2 linked regions of the Tamandua tetradactyla genome follow. The protein of the gene in region 2 purifies or fractionates together with the protein of the main gene of each other region. This does not show direct contact. Links are inferred from orthologs where the notes say so. Each region holds a gene or a part of one and is shown on either strand. Other genes may lie near its edges.

Region 1 (7,797 bases), on a different chromosome or scaffold from region 2:
TCAGGGCCAGGCAGGGGAGGCAAATGTGTTTGAGGTCTGGGGGTGAAATACAGGGAGCTGAAGGCCTCTGGCTGATCCAGTGAGGGCAGCTGTGCCTCGGGATGCTGAAAGTAACGGTGTCTGTGGTCACAGAGCCTGCCCTGCTCCATTGAGCTTCCTGTCCAGATTTGCGCAGGCCTTGGGCTACCCATTTGTAGCCTCATAAGTTCAACCCACTCTCACCACTGATAGAGAAACTGAGGTCAAAGAAGAGGAGACCCTGCCAATGGACACCTAGCTATTGTGCACATAACTAAAATCATCATAAAATGCAAAGAGAAATTTATTCTCGAATTTGGGATATGATCTCGAATTTTCCTGATGGGAAAAGTTGGGAAAAAGAAAAGTCCACACTTGGACGTTTAGAAGTTTCTTCCCTCCAAAACAACAGAATGAATCACTAAACTTATTTCCCTTTACCACCTTTTTTCTGACTTTTGTGCTTCTAATAATCCAAATAGAGCAAACATGTTTATGTTTTCCTTAAAACTAGCCAGTTGTTTCAGCTCCAAGGCCAGTGCTAAAATTAGTTCTGTTTATTTCCATCTCCCTCAGGTGTCTCCCTTACTTCCTGACTGGATTTGGGAGTCCTTAGGAGGTCTGGAAATTCCCCATCCTTGCAGGGCTCAGGGACTGGATGGGACTTGGGCACAGGCAAGGTGGGGACACTAGGTGTGCTGAGTGGTCTGAGGTCAGAGGCCGGGGATCCCTGTGTTTCCACTACTGTACACTTGGCCCTGGGCTGGCATTGCCTTGTCCCTGGGGCCCTGTTTTCCTTCACTGGAGCTAGAGGGCCTGGATGGGCCAAAATGAGGTCTCCTGATTACATTAGATTTTTATTGAAGGTAGATCCGGGGTTTGATTGAGCACAACTGAGACTGAGAATTTTCATGGGAGGGGCATGGGTGAGGTACGCTCCCACTCCAGGAGCTTCTGGCCTTTCAGGGGCACACTGGTGTGGGGCAACTATAGCCAGTGGTGCAGGCAGTGAGTATCTACCTCTAATCTTCCCGGGTGTTACATCCTACACACTAATTTCCTTCTTTCATAGTGAAGGACTGAGGCCCAGAGATGGGCAGGGCCTGGCCAGGCTCACACAGCAAGTTAGGGACAAATCCTGAACCACCCTTTGTTTTCTCACCACTCTGGCCGCCATTTGAGGCAGCTGCGTCTTCAGGTCTTTGACCCACAGAAAATCAGAATTGGGCCCTGGAGGATCTGACATTGGCCTCTAGCATCCCCTTTTTGGTTCATTTGCTTCTGAATCTGTTCCTTACAACCCAAGGAGCCCAAGGCCTCGATTCGATTCTCTCGTTTTTATCAAGGCCAGCCCCCTCTGGGAGGGAGGACACCCCAAAGCCCAGGCTGGGGAAACCTAACTGGAGAAGAGGAACTGGGTGGTGATGTCATCAGAAGTATGTGAGCACAGAGTCCACACTTTAAACCAAACAGTGAGAATCTAATGGTGCTATTGCCAATATCCAGGGCAGGTGTGAGCAGGACTGGGCAGGCAGGAGAGAATGGCGTGTGCTGTCCTTCTGCCTGATCTCACACCATTTCTATCCAGGGGCGTTAAAGGAGTGAGGCGGTGTTACCTCTGAATTTGGTAAACAAACAGTATATTCAACTCTTCATGTTAATTTAAGGTTTATTAGCTCCGAGCCCTATGCTAAACAAACAGAAGCAGCATTGCACTTACTAAACATCCGGTGTTTTATGGGCACTGTCCCATTTAATCTTCCCTCAGAGCTTACCCCATGAAGGGTGAATTATTATTAGCCTATTTTATAGTTGGAGAAATGGAGACACCAGGAGGTTACTAAAAACCACGGAGCTAGGAGCTTAGAAACTGGATATAAGATTAGGCATTCCTGCTCCATTCCTTGCATTCTCTTCGTTCAAAGCTGAAGTGAGGAGTCTTCAAACAGAAAAAAACCTCAGAGATGGCCTGGCTAAATATAAAGGGCCAGCATGGCTTAGCAGCCAAGGGGAGAGGCTTTGAGGCCAGATTGCCTGAGTTCTAATGGCCATTGGCTGTGTGACTTGGACAAGTCACTTACCCTCTCTGAACCTTCCTGGTGATGATCAGCATGGCCTTCCCTCCCAGAGCCAAAACGTGCAGATTGAATATACACAAAGTCTTGAGAAGTGTTTGGTGCATGGTAAGCTCTCAGGAAGCCCAAGTTATGGTTACTGATGCTGTCATGGACCTTTCCAGGTTGCCAAATGGGCCTCCAGCTCCTCTGGCTTTAGTTATCCCTGGAGCCCTCACCTCCAAAAACTGATAATAGAAAAATCAAATCCTTCCAACATTCCAGAGAGTAAGGTGGGATGAGAGGGAAGGAGGGAGGGCAAAGGTTATCTCTATTTTGTATAAGAGGACAGAGATGTTAGCTGCAAAGAAGACTACTGAGCATCCGACAGAGGGCCTTGAGGCCAGCCCAGCATTTGGGGTTTCTGGCCAGAGCCTGAGAAATACCTCTAGAGTAGACCCTGGTAGGCAGAGCTGGGGTCTGGGGCTAGGACCCCTGGCAACATCTCAGCCTTTTCACGTATGGGTGAATTGAAGCTCACAAAAACCGTCCAAGATGGCTACTATGGTTATACCCATTTTACAGATGAGGAAATTGGGGGCACAGAGGGTAACAGCTTGCCCCAAATCATACACCCTCCAGGATTCAAACTCAGGCAGCCTGGCCCCAGCCCCCAGCTCCCTGTCCCCACCGCATGTGGGGGCCCATCCAGGCTGAGGGCCTGCACAGTTCCACTCCGTCTGAACAGGCTGGAGGCCGATGCGGTCCCTACGTGACCCTGGGCTGGTCACTGCCCCTCCCTGGGCCTTACCTTCCTCACCTGTAGAAGGGGAAAAGGGCACGCACCCAAGCATGGAGGGCCTGTGAAGCTTGTAGGACACAGACCACAGGAAAGCCGTGAAGATACAGGTCCAGTGCAAACAGGACCCACCACCCTCACTGTTGCTGCTGCTGTGTCCTGGGGTCTTCTGGGGTCCGGGGACTGTGGAGCCAGATGCCAACCCCCACCTCCCCCCACCCCCAGAATGGAGGGTCTTCTACTTCTTGCCTATGGAATATATAGGCTGTGACTATATACTCAATCAGGAACCCCTGGGCAGGCTCAGAAAGCGGGGACCCTGGGGCTGCTGTGGCTATGACAACAGGAAATAGGGGTTCAGGCTCCATCTTGCCTGAGTCTCCTGGGGCCACCCCCCATCGGCCCCAGACCAGCTGCCTGCCTGGCCACACAGAGCAGGAGGGTCTTGGGAGGCTCTCCCCAGCAAAAGAATACTCACGATTCACGGTCCCAGAGCCGGGCTGGTGACCAAAGCTGAGGAGACAGATCCCCTGCGCTCGTCCGTATTTAAGCAGTGGATGCAGATGGGACGATGGGGGAGGCTGCTAGTGAACATTAACCAAGGTCACCCAGTTATCGGAGGAGCAAACAGGGACTAAGTCCATGATGGGCAGCAGGCCGCCCACCCAGGCTGCCCTTCCGCTCTCGGCATGGCCCTCTGCCCCGAATGCCAAAGGGAGCCGGCTTTTCTGGCTCATAAACCGCCGCGTCTTGCATCTAAGGCTGGGGGTGAGTGTGTGTCGGGGGTGAGTCAGACCTCCGGGCCCAGCCCCACGTGGCCAGCTCTATGCGCCTGCTCAGGAGCCCTCCAGGGCTGCCTCACCCTCCCAAGAGCGAGAGCCCCCATTTGCTGAGTCATTTTGAAGGCTCTGCCTGGGGAGGCTAATGTGGGTTATTATCAGAGGGGGAAACTGAGGCCCAGAAAGGAGAGGCCCCTGATCTAAAATCACCAAACCAGCCTCCGGTGTAAAATCCCTCTTGACTTTGCCAAGGGGATGGTGGGAAATGATGAGGCCGACATGGTCACTTTAGGCTCGTGTGGGTCTCCAAGGGTCCAGGTGGGGACCAGAGTATGAACTTGTAAAGAGAGTCTGGCTTTGGCTGAGGCCATTCTAGGTCAAATCTTGCCTGTATCTGCCACTAAAGAGCTGTGTGGCCTCAGGCAGACGGCTTCACTTCTCTGAACCAGGAGGTGTTTCTCTCTGCCTCATAGTTGTTGGAAGTTTCCCCTCCTAGCATCCTTGTCAGTGCTGCACAAGGTAATTTGTTTAAAATACCTGACCCGCAGTAGGTCCTTTCTCTTGTTTCCTCTGTTCAGCGCTGCTTCCGGGCTGCTGTCACAGAAGGAGGCTCAGCTCCCAGCCGGCGGGTGCAACACATCCACTGCTTGCCCTGTCCTCAGGAAAGTGGTCCAGGCCACAGGTGCAGGCCGTCGCCTTGGGGACTCTGATGGTGGTTGGGGGTGGTGTGCTAGGGCAGAGGTCAGTAGGCTCCAGCCCTGCCCAGCTCCTCTTGATTGTGATCCCTTTAAAATCCTAAGTAAATTCACATACCCCCTGTGCCACCTCCATCCCAATCCGTGGCTCCCTCTGGCTCAGAGACAAAATCAAAGTCCCTACAGTGGCCCACAAACCCCCTGCTGGGTCCTCTTTTCATGGACTCCAGTGATTATTCTGCTCCAGTTTCACTGACCTTTTCTCCCTGGAATCTAGTGGGCCTACTCCAGTCTCAGGGAGGCTAGCTGTTCCTGCTGCCAGAAACACTGTTCCCTCACTCCATTCAGGCCTCTCCCCAAGCTCCCCCCAACCAGAGAGGCTTTCCGTGGCCTTGCCCTAAATGAACCAGCATCAACCCTCCCACCCCCTTTGTCCCTTCTTTCTTCTGCTGCCTCTCTGATGACCACACTGTATGCCTCACGTAGGACCTTCTGTTTGCTTTGCCCACTCATACCCCAGGGTCTGGTGCCTGCTTGGCACCTGGGCTATACTCAGAAGGTATTTGCTGAGTGTGTGAGTAAATGAGTTTAGCCCCTTCTCTCATGGACCCAGTCCCAGTTTTGCTTCTACTTTGGGGCTCTGCCAGATGAGTGACCTGCTGGTTCCTTTACACCCAGGTTCAGAACAGGGACTCGGGGGCTAGGTGTGTCTCGCTAGTGGTGAAATCTTCAGGAAAATTCTTTAACCTTCCTGTGCCTCAGTTTCTCTGTCTGTAAAGTGGGTTCCTATCCCATTTTGGTGTTGTGAGGACTAAATGCAGCAACCCAAGATTAGTCCAGAGTTGGGTGTGCACAGCTCAGCCTGCCATCCCTCCTCTGCATTAGTGGGTCTCCCTGAGGTCCTGGCCACAGCCCTTGCTGACCATGATTAGGGAAGGCCTTGGGGTGGGTGAGGAAAGGGTATGTTCTAGGAGCTTCCTCTAGGCAGTTGGTCCCTGGGGCAAGGCATTCTTTCATTTACTCACAGGAAGCCTGTGGGCTGAGTTTGTATACTGCCTTTCTAATAGGAGTGGGAAACAGAGGCTCAGAAAGGCGAGGTTCCCCTCTCTGCCCCACTCCCCCTTTAGGCCCACAGCTCCATCCTCTGCCTTTAAGGCCCCTGCTTTTTCTCCTGAGCTGACAAGTGGGCATTTTCTCCAGGACTCTACATCTGCTCACAGTCTAGACAGCTGGGCCTGTCCTCCATGCTCCTGGGCAAGTTCCTTTCCCTCCCTGGGCCTCAGTTCCCTATCTGTACAAAAGCCCCACAGCCCAGCTGCCCCTCTTATCTCTCACCCAGGGTGAGCAATGCTCTCTGGAAGGAAGCCCACCTTCCCGCATTCCCCAACTCTGTCTCCTTGGCCAGTGGCCTGGGCACCTGCCCCTCTACCTTGAGTTCTGGGTGCTGCAGGGCTGCCGTGGCCGCCACGCCTGCTGGGCAGGCCAACTCCTCCACTTCCTCCTCCTCCAACAATGCTCCTGGGCTCCTGGGCTGCTGCGGGGAGGCTGTGGGCACCCTGAGTGCTGTGCAATCTCTGCCTCCCCAGGAGGACTGAGGCTCCTGGCAGTGGCAACAGATCTGGAGGGGTGGGGGCACTGGGGCAGGAAGTGGCCTTACACAAAGCCGCTAGCTTGTCAGGCAGATGCCATGCCATGCCTTTCCAGCCCAGGTAGCTCTGTGTGTCACCAGCTGTCCTGCCCTGTCCCAGGGCTGTGTGGCCCAGAACTAGTCATCAGTTCCCCTGGCCTCTGTGAGAGGGATGGCACCCAGCTCATGATTAATGGAGATGGCAGGCGTGACCCTACTTGCCTAGGCTTGGGCATATGGAATCTCTGCTGGTGCCCAGGGCCAGCTGCAGAAGGAAGAGGATGAGCCATCTCTGAAATGCCCAAAGGGGGCCCTTGGAGGCTGGGAGAAGGTATGTCCCAGATCCTGGCTGGATGCAGGAGGGATCCAGCAGATCTCTCTGCTGGGCAGACCTCTCAGGCCAGTCCTGGGGTGCAGGTCCTCCCTGAGACTTTTGGGTCAAGGACTCCATGTCCCACCCTTCCTTATCTGTCTATCTTTAAACTCCCACACTTTCCTCTTGGCATCTTCCTATCACCTTTGATGCTGCAGAGAACTACTCTGGGCATACTCCTGAGAGAAGGGGTGGGGTGTCTGGGAAAATGAGCAAGGACAGAATGCCTAGGGGGCACCCAGTGGCCATTCTTGAGGGCACTGTGCCCACGAACCACAGACCATGGTGGGGAAAATTGTATCCACTTGGTTACTTCTGGAATTGTCTATTAGCCTCTGGGCTGTTCCCTGGAGTGAATGCATATCTTGGCTGGTTGTAAATAAGGGGCATCTGGGGAGATCTTACCTCTCCATAGGGCCCAAGAATGGGAGTCCGGCATGTGGGATGGGGAGAGGCATGAGAGCTGAGGCTGGGGTCTGCAACAAGTTGTGGGTGAGGTGTGGGGTATGCTGGAGAAGGGCCCTGGGCCAAGTTGATCAAAGACCAGAGGTCCCCTGGCTGGATTTCAGGGCTGCTGAACCCCTTGGTAAGAGAGTGTAGGAACCAGCCTGTGCTGCCCTCCTCCCCCCTACACACACACCAGACATCCCCACTCTCAGACTTTCCCCTCCCTGCTCCAGCACTGCTCCCTTCTCTTGGGGGGCATTATAAATCAGTGATTAAATCACGGGCTCAGAGGCTAAGCTATCTGGTCCAAACCTTAACTCTACTCTTTTTGTGTGATTGTAGACAAGCCACTTAACGTCTCTATGCCTCAGTTTCTTTATCTGTAAAATAGGGATAAGAATAGTGCCTTCCACCAAGATTGTGAAGAGTAAATGAGACAATGCATCAAGTGCTTAGGGCAGCCTCAGGCACATGCCAGACTGCAAGGCAATGCCCACCCACCTCCATCATCTTTGGGGAGCTGGGCTGGAAAACCTTTTAGATAGGTCCTGGGTTCTAGGCTTGGTGAGTAGCACTATTCTCAGATTCAGGTCTCTGCTTATCTGAAAATGCCTCCAATCCCCTCTCCTGAGGGCCTGCCCTCATTTTGCTTCTTGGAGGTACAAGGTCAGAAGCATCTTTCAGAGCACCTGTGAGATGCCAAAGCAATCAGAGGCAGGCAGACTTGGATCCAGGGGAAGGCTTCACTTTACATCTCTAAACCTCGGTCTCCTCATCTATAAAGTGGGATGATAATCCCTTTCTCACATGACCGTTGTGAGGTTTAAATGAGGGTGTTTAATGCAGGGCCTGCTTGTTAACACAAACAGCACTTGTGTTTGTCTTCTCATAAATTGTTTTAATTAACAGGATTAACCTGATGTTTCAAGATTTTATCTTCTGGAGGTGAATTGAGTTTGCACAATTATTTCACTTACTCTGGGCATACTTGTGAATCCACCAATT
Region 2 (7,953 bases):
TCCTTCAAGAGGGAACCATTTTGGAAAAAGCTTAGAGATGACAGAGACACAGACACTTGAAGATGCCTGAAGTGCCAACAGAGAGACTAGATGCCTGGAGAAAGTTTGGAGGTGCAAAGCCCAGCAGACGTCACCATGTGCCTTCCCATGAGATGCTAAGCCAGCCAGAACCCAGAGTTTTGCCCCAGAGGAGCTAAGTGAAGGCCCACTTAGAGAGGAAACCACTGGCATCAGAAGCTGGAAGCAACGGAACCAGGAACAAGGACCTGCAGATGCCAGCCATATGACATCCCATGTGACAGACATGAATCTTTCTTAAGTCAAGGTATCTTTCTCCGGATGCCTTAGTTTGGACATTTTTCATTTGGCCTTAGATCTGTAAACTTGTAACTTAAGAAATTCCCTTTTTAAAAGCCATTCCATTTCTGGTATATTGCATTCTGGCAGCATTAGCAAACTAAAACAGACACCTAGAAGGAGGATGAATGGACTTGTTTTTTTACTCAGAAAACTAGAGTGATTTACTTCATATCACTTCTGATTCTTTTTGTGACTCATTCCTGATTCTTTTGTTAACATCTGTCTTCCCTCTAGACTGTACATCCTATGATGGCAGTGGCTGCATCTGCTTGCTCAGCCCTGTACTCCCAGAGCCAAGCCCAGTATACATACAGCAAGAACTCACTGAAAACTCATGAAGTGAAGAAAAGAAAGATGATGTGAAGGAGAAGGAAGAGTCAAGGATGAGACTCAGGTCTCTAGCTAATATGACAGAAAGTAGAGATAAAGAAAAAAGAGTAATTGTGGCTGGGGGAGGGGGTGTTGGTACGAATGCGAGGTTTTGGGAAATGCTGACCTGAAGTGTCTCTGACGAACCAGGCAGTGATATTCAGCTAGCAGCTGGAAATAGGAGTCAAACTTTGGGTTTAGGGTCGGGGAGAAACCCTCTCAACTATAAGATGCAATGCTGCCCTTGTCCTAGAATGTGAATGGACTTACCCGAACTTCGGCCTCCCGGGGCCTCCCATTGAGGTCGCACTTGGACCCGTTTCCATAGGTCTGACTGTGGTAGCGTTTCAGGCGATGCTGCTTGGAGGCCTAGGGAGGATAGGGAGCAGGAAGGAGCAGGGGTGAGAGAGAGCAAGGAGGAAGAATGATCCTGCGCCCCCATAAGAACCTTAGAAATCTTAGGAATCCAGAACCCAGGAAACTTTGTCCTATTTGCCACCAAGCCCCAAGAAACATAGCAGCAAATCCTGACCCACCCCTTCTTGTCAGGGCTCTGAGTCTACACTAAGACCTCTTTCCCTCCCAATTCCATACTCCTGACACCTTGGCGGTTTCATCATCCCAGTCAAAGGCCGATTGGTAGTAGCCAAGATAGAGGACTTCACCTTTGATCTCTGAATCTGCAAAAGAAACCACAATGACGTACTGTTACTCTCTCTAAGAGGACTGGGGAGGCAAGTCACCTTCCATATGACATGCTGACAAGGGCTTAGGGAGAAAGTAGTCACCTTCCATGTGGTACTGCTGGATGTGGCGTCCATAACAGAATTCATATGTCCACCAGTCCTTGGTCTGACAATTAAAAAAATAACAGTCAGGGGAATGGAGTGGGGATGTACCTCCTGGGAACTAGAGTCTCTCCCAGCTCCAAGATATACAACCTCTCATCTACTCCTCATTGCCCTGTGCTTCCACACTCACTCTCTATACTCTCAGTGAGAGAGAGCTGTTTCCCTTCTGTGAGTCAGAAAGATGCATCTAAAGTCTGTTTTCTTCCTGTAGTCTTTCCCCTTTAGAGTTTTAAAAATCCTTCTTTGCCCTTCATAGAGGTAAGAATCCCGGTATCCTTTTATTACTCAGACCAGAAAACATACAACACCCCAACTTAAAATACTAATTTAGGTTCTATAAAGTTCCTTTCACTCTTCTAGACTCTAAGGATACAAAAAGGATACAGCTGTGAACAAGATAGTTCTCTGACCTCATGGAGCTTATACTTTAGTATGGGGAATCAGACCAGAAAAACAAACAAACAAACAAACAACTGATGATTCCATTAATATGATGAAAAGTACTATGATGAAAATAAACTAGGAGAGTCGTGCAGAGAATAATTGGCAGGGGGTGTCTCTGGCTAAGGTTTAGCAGGAAGACTTCTCCAAGCAGGAGACCCTCTACCACTTTCCCTCTTTTGGCTCCTTAATCTTGGCTTAACACTTATTCTAAGACTTTCTATCCTACTTCTCCTCTACGTTTGGCAGAGTGTCATAGTGGTTGCAGGATTCTTTGCTCTTTTCCTGTCTGTATTACATGTCTACTCCAACCGTCTTCCGAACTCCCCTAAACCCTTCATTCACCAGTACTCTAGCTCTCGGATAGGCTGCTAGTTCCCAAGTCCCCATTCCATGCATCCCAGGTTCTTTCACCTTCAGCAGGCAGGGAGCATCTTTCATCGGACTCAACAACACAGGGATTCCAGGTCCTTGGTAAGCAGGTGTCTCCTCTTCCCTTTCACGCTGGAAATGAATGGCTCCAGCTGGCAGGCGACACTCATAGCGCTGTTTGTACTTGGAGGAAACAATCACCACGTCCGAAGCCTGGCTCTGGGAGAGAAGGCGGGGGGGATGGGAGGTAGGGAGGCGAAGAGAGGCTGGGATCAGGGAGAACAACGAGATCCCTCTTCAGACCCTGGGGAAAGCCCAGTCGGAGAGAGCATGAGGCACAAGTCCTCCACCTGTGGGGGAGGGGAGAGGACACACCCACTTCTACGCGGGGGCGGAGTATGAGTGTCTCCATCAGGAACTGGAACCTGGCGGCTGACAGCGGGAAGCCCCACCCCTCCGGTCGCTGGCCCCACGGAATAAAGCTCAGTTTGCGATCCCCAAGAGTCACTATAAACCCTCTACCTATTCTTCCCGATTCTTCTTAGGCTCCTGCCCCAGATTCCGAAGCTGCCCCCTTTCCTCTACCTTGCCACTCTTCCTCTTCTGCCCCGGAATCTCCCCCACCTCTACGCCTCCTCACCTGCCCTCCCATGATAGGCAATGGCAGGATCTCGATCCCATAACGCATCTCACTCAGCTCCTCCAGGTTCAGACTCCCAACACTGCCGCTCAGACTTGCGGGTAGCATGAGACCTAGAAGCAGCAGCCCTAACATACTGGACAGCAGCGCTTCCGCCGCCATTTTTCCGTCCTCTTTCTCAGCCAGAGAAACTCCTTCCGCCCTAAACCTGGCAGAGGCCTCGCCCCGCCCATTAACTCTGCAAGGTCTCATTGGCTGTACGTTCTGTCCCTCTCACGTACCTTATTCCCATTTGTAAATGTGACTCCAAAGTCCCACGGGGGAGGGGTGATGATTAGCCACTATTAGCGAACCATTCTCTGTGTGTGATTGGCCAGGGAGACCAACCAATCATGAACGATATCAGAACCTCCTCCCACTCGCCCCTGGTTCCTAAGAACTGGGGTCCTTGGGCTGGGCCCTTTTAAGCAGTTTTCCTCTGTTCTAGCTCGGCTTCCTTTCACATCTCTTATTACATTTTTAGACATTTCTTGCATTGTACTGGGCTCCTGAGAGGCGGAATATTGAAGCCAAAGGGTGGGTGAGCGCGAGTTCCCTGGAAATTAATACTTGTTGGGCAACGAACAGTTGAAACATACCTCAGATATACATACAACTTGAGGGCGCTCTGGTAATGTGTCATAATCTTTTCACACGAAAAAAAGAATTGAAGCTCTGATACATGCAACGACATGCGTGACCCTTACAGACTTCATGTGGAGTGAAATAAGCCAGACAGAAAAAGGATAGATATTGTATGATCTCACTGATATGAAACAATTAGAATAAGCAAACTCATAGAGTGAGAAACTAGAATACAGGTTACAAGAGGCTGGGGTGGGAGTGGGGAATGGGGAGTTAATGCTTACTTGGTACAGAATTTCTATTTGGGGTAATGAAAAAGTCTTGGTAATGGATGTTGATGATGGTAGCACAACATTGTGAATGTAATTACCAGCACTGAATTATATGCTTGAATATGGTTAAAAGGGGGAAGTTTTAGTTTGTATATATTACTAGAATAAAAATTGAATTTAAGAAACCCATAGGACTGTACAACACAGTGAACCCTTTTGTAAACTATGGGCTATAGTTAACAGAACAATTATAATAATATTCTTTCATCAGTTGTAACAAAGGTACCATACTAACACAAAGTGTTGGGTTATATGAGAATTCTGTATTTTCTACATACTTTTTGTGTAAATGTGCAGCTTCTCTAATATATATATATATTTGGAAAACGCCTTTTACATGACCCTGCCAATACCCTCCAACAAAGTTATCCTAAAGAAACGATGGGGGCTTCCAGTCAAGGAGGAGAGGGAAGGGGGTGAATGTACATATTATCCCCCTAATCTATGAACCTACAAAGACAGAGAGAAAGGAAATAGAAGCAATGACAGCAACATTTTAGAACCTGGAAAGCAAATGGAGGTATGGTAGGTAACTTTTCACCTACCTGAGAAAGTTAATCCCTAAACAGCATGATTATACCTTTAGGCAGAAGATTGGAATGTGGAGAATTTGACTAGCCCAAGAAAAAAAGCACAAAAATACTCTCATCAGGGCACTCTCAATGAATTAGCCAAACTTTCAATTAAGTACTTGCCTATATACCAAGTCCCTCACATGGACTGTCCACAATCAGCTTTTTTTGTACTCATTCTTAGGCATAAGCAGACAACCAAGGATCATTAGGCATTTAAGAAAAACGTTTAATATGCAAGAAAGAAACCAAAACAATCAAAGAGAAGAAAACAAAGTAGAGGAAAGAGAGACTGCAAGGTGTGGAGGGTGGGTGGGGGATGACTAAAAAACAAAGCAAATGAATTAAAAATCATCACTAAATCCTGAGTAATAAGATAGTACAGCCATCTTTAGAAAGGCAAGATGTTATTTTAAAAGTGTTAAAAGAAAAACTGTTCATGGAATTTAGGATCTCCCAGCTTTATTGAGCAATACATGAATTGGGCAGCAACCCATACAGAAAGTAGAAGGGAGTTCCACTGAGAGAGTGAAAAGGATGAACTTATATGGGGCACGTGAGAAAATGTTCTCATTGGCTGATGTAAAGATTCAGTTTTACCGGGGTGGGGGGTATTACAAAGTGGGGAGCAGATATAAATTGATTAGCATGGTATTCTTGTCCCATCTAATAAGCTATCTCTCCTGGACCAAAGCTGGTTTATTAGAAGCTGTTGCTTATCTGCAGTTCTGTAGGGTACATTCCATTGTTCCAACTTCCTGGAAAGCCCCTGCAAGTCCATTGTCTTTGTCTTCTAGAAAAGTCCTTCTCAGAAAGGGGTCCCTCTGGAAACCCCCAATGCAGGTGGCCATTTTATTTTACTTAACAAAAATGACTACCATTCAGATAAACAAAAAGACCTTTTGGAAATTAAAACCATGATAGCAGAGATAATAATTTAATAGAAAGGCTGGAAGATAAAGTTGAAGAAGAAAATTTGCTGCACTTTAGTAGAAAACTGATAAAAATTAGAAGACCAGTACAGGAAGTGGAACATCTAAATAGAGTTTTAGAAAGAGAGCAGAGAATCAGAAGGGAAGAAATAATCAAAAGAAATTACTTAAAAGTATTTCCCAGAACTGAAGAGCTAAGTTTCCAACTTGAAAGGGTACACAAATGTATCCAGCACAACAAATCAGACCCACATCAAGACACATCATTGTAAAATTTCAGAACACTGGAGACAGAAAAATTTCTAAAAGCTTCCAGAGAGAAAGAACAAGTTTCATACAAGAATCAGAATGGCATTAGGCTTATCAGCTCATCACCACTGGAAGCTAAAAGACAATGGAGAAAGAGTTTCAAAATTCCAAGGATAATTATTTTCAACATTGAATTCTATACTCAGCCAAATCATGATATAGTTGTGAATCCAGAATAAAGACTGTTTCAGATATGAAAAATATAAACACTCCATGTATTGTTTTTCAGAAAGATAGGAGAAGATGCATTCTGCCAAAACAAATCATTAAGTCAAAAAAGAGGAATGCATGGAATCCAAGAAACATGGGATTCACAATAGAGAGACAAAAAAGAATTCTTGGGGATGGTGAAGGGAGATCCAAAGCTGTATGGCAGGACTAGAAGTCAGTTTTCAAGACTGGAGCAGGTCAGAAGAGTTTGGGTGTAATTTCTTCAAAAAAATAAAATTAACAGAATATCTAGTGATGTGAGCATATTGAGAAAAAAATGCATAACCAGAGGAGAGTTTGGGATAAGGGATAAGTGTGTAGAAAGCAAAGGAAAGAAAAATGGCAATTACTAATTCTGAGGAAAATTAAAACTTGTCCTGCAAAAGCTAAGCATACTTCTGTTTCCTCCAATATTTTGGTTTACATATTTAATTAATTCTTTTACTAAAAACACCTAAAAATGCTGGGTAAATGGAAATATCTTCTTAAAAATGTAGTAGACGAGATACGATGAGGCTAGAGAATGGGAAGTGTTGCTTAAGATGTGAAGATTTTTTTAAGTAGGTTGAATTTAAATGAGTGGAAATGGATAGAGGTGATGGTAGCACCTTATTGTGCGTATAATTAACAGTGATGAATTGTGTGTGAATGTGGTTGGTAGAGGAAGTTTAGAGTTATTTATGTCAACAGAAGGAAAGCCAGAGGTTGAAATATGGGAATGTATAATTCAGTAAACCTTGTGGTGGATGATGACTGTGATTAACAAATATTAAAAATGTTCTCTGTGAACTAGAACAGATTTACAAAACTATTATAAGGAGTTAATGATAGAGTGGCATGTGGGAAAAATGCATCTACTGAAAACTATGGACTATGGTTAACAATAATATCTTCTTTTTTTTCCAAAGAGAGAAACTTGTATTTCCAATGACCAGGTTAGAATTTCACACACAATGTTAATTTTTTAAATTTAATTTTATTTATTTAATTTTAATTTAATTTAATTTTTAAAAAATATAACAACAAACACATTCTTAACATATGATCATTCCGTTCTAAAATAATCAGTAATTCACATCATCACATAGTTGCATATTCATCATCATGATCATTTCTTAGAACATTTGCATTAGTTCAGAAAAAGAAATAAAAAGACAACAGAAAAAAGTTCATACATACCATACCCCTTACCCCACCTTTCATTGATCACTAACATTTCAATCTACTAAATTTATTTTAACATTTGTTCCCCCTATTATTTATTTTTCTTCCATATGTTTTACTCGTCTGTCGATAAGGTAGATAAAAGGAGCATCAGACACAAGGTTTTCACAATCACACAGTCACATTGTCAAAGCTATATCATTATACAATCATCCTCAAGAAACATGGCTACTGGAACACAGTGCTACATTTTCAGGCAGTTCCCTCCAGCCTCTCCACTACATCTTGACTAGCAAGGTGATCACAATGCTAATTTTAACGGTGATGACTACAACAGACACGTGGCTTCTATCAACTTCCACAGCAACCATTAAAACTGCAATAAACTTTTTTTCCTTTGGGATTGTTTGCACAAGATAGAGCCAATGACAGATTAAAGGGAATTCTTTGGCTAAAATGGTAATGAATGCTTTGTTAGTGTACCTCAAAGTCAACCTTTCAAAGGAAGGTACTTTTCTTTAGTGGGTGTTTTACACCTCACCTACCATATTTGGCTGCAACTCGTGAAATCTATGATCTATCAAATATACTATTGATTTAACTGTAATTATCCAATGTTATAACAGTAATATCTTAATATTTGTTTATCAACAGTAACAAATGTATCACACCATTAATAGGGATAAATGATGAGGGGAGAATAAAGGGTACAGGCTATTTTGGGTTTGCTCTTTCTTTTTTTCTTCCTGGAGTGATGAAAATGTTCTAAACTTGACT

The links. Proteins that work in one complex are often made in the same cells at the same time.
Region 1: the proteins of OS9 (region 2) and SERPINA1 purify together in Homo sapiens (affinity purification with western blotting; 4 studies listed by BioGRID). This does not show direct contact. The link is inferred for Tamandua tetradactyla from reciprocal best matches to the Homo sapiens genes OS9 and SERPINA1.

What each region holds. Positions count from the first base shown.
Region 1 is NC_135338.1:55,474,019-55,481,815, forward strand, and holds the start of SERPINA1 (alpha-1-antitrypsin), read right to left. Parts: upstream 3,468-7,797; 5' UTR 3,350-3,467; intron 1-3,349.
Region 2 is NC_135333.1:125,000,486-125,008,438, reverse strand, and holds the start of OS9 (protein OS-9), read right to left. Parts: upstream 3,251-7,953; 5' UTR 3,196-3,250; coding exon 3,034-3,195; intron 2,613-3,033; coding exon 2,436-2,612; intron 1,582-2,435; coding exon 1,518-1,581; intron 1,410-1,517; coding exon 1,333-1,409; intron 1,099-1,332; coding exon 1,000-1,098; intron 1-999. UniProt on the Homo sapiens protein: Lectin component of the HRD1 complex, which functions in endoplasmic reticulum (ER) quality control and ER-associated degradation (ERAD).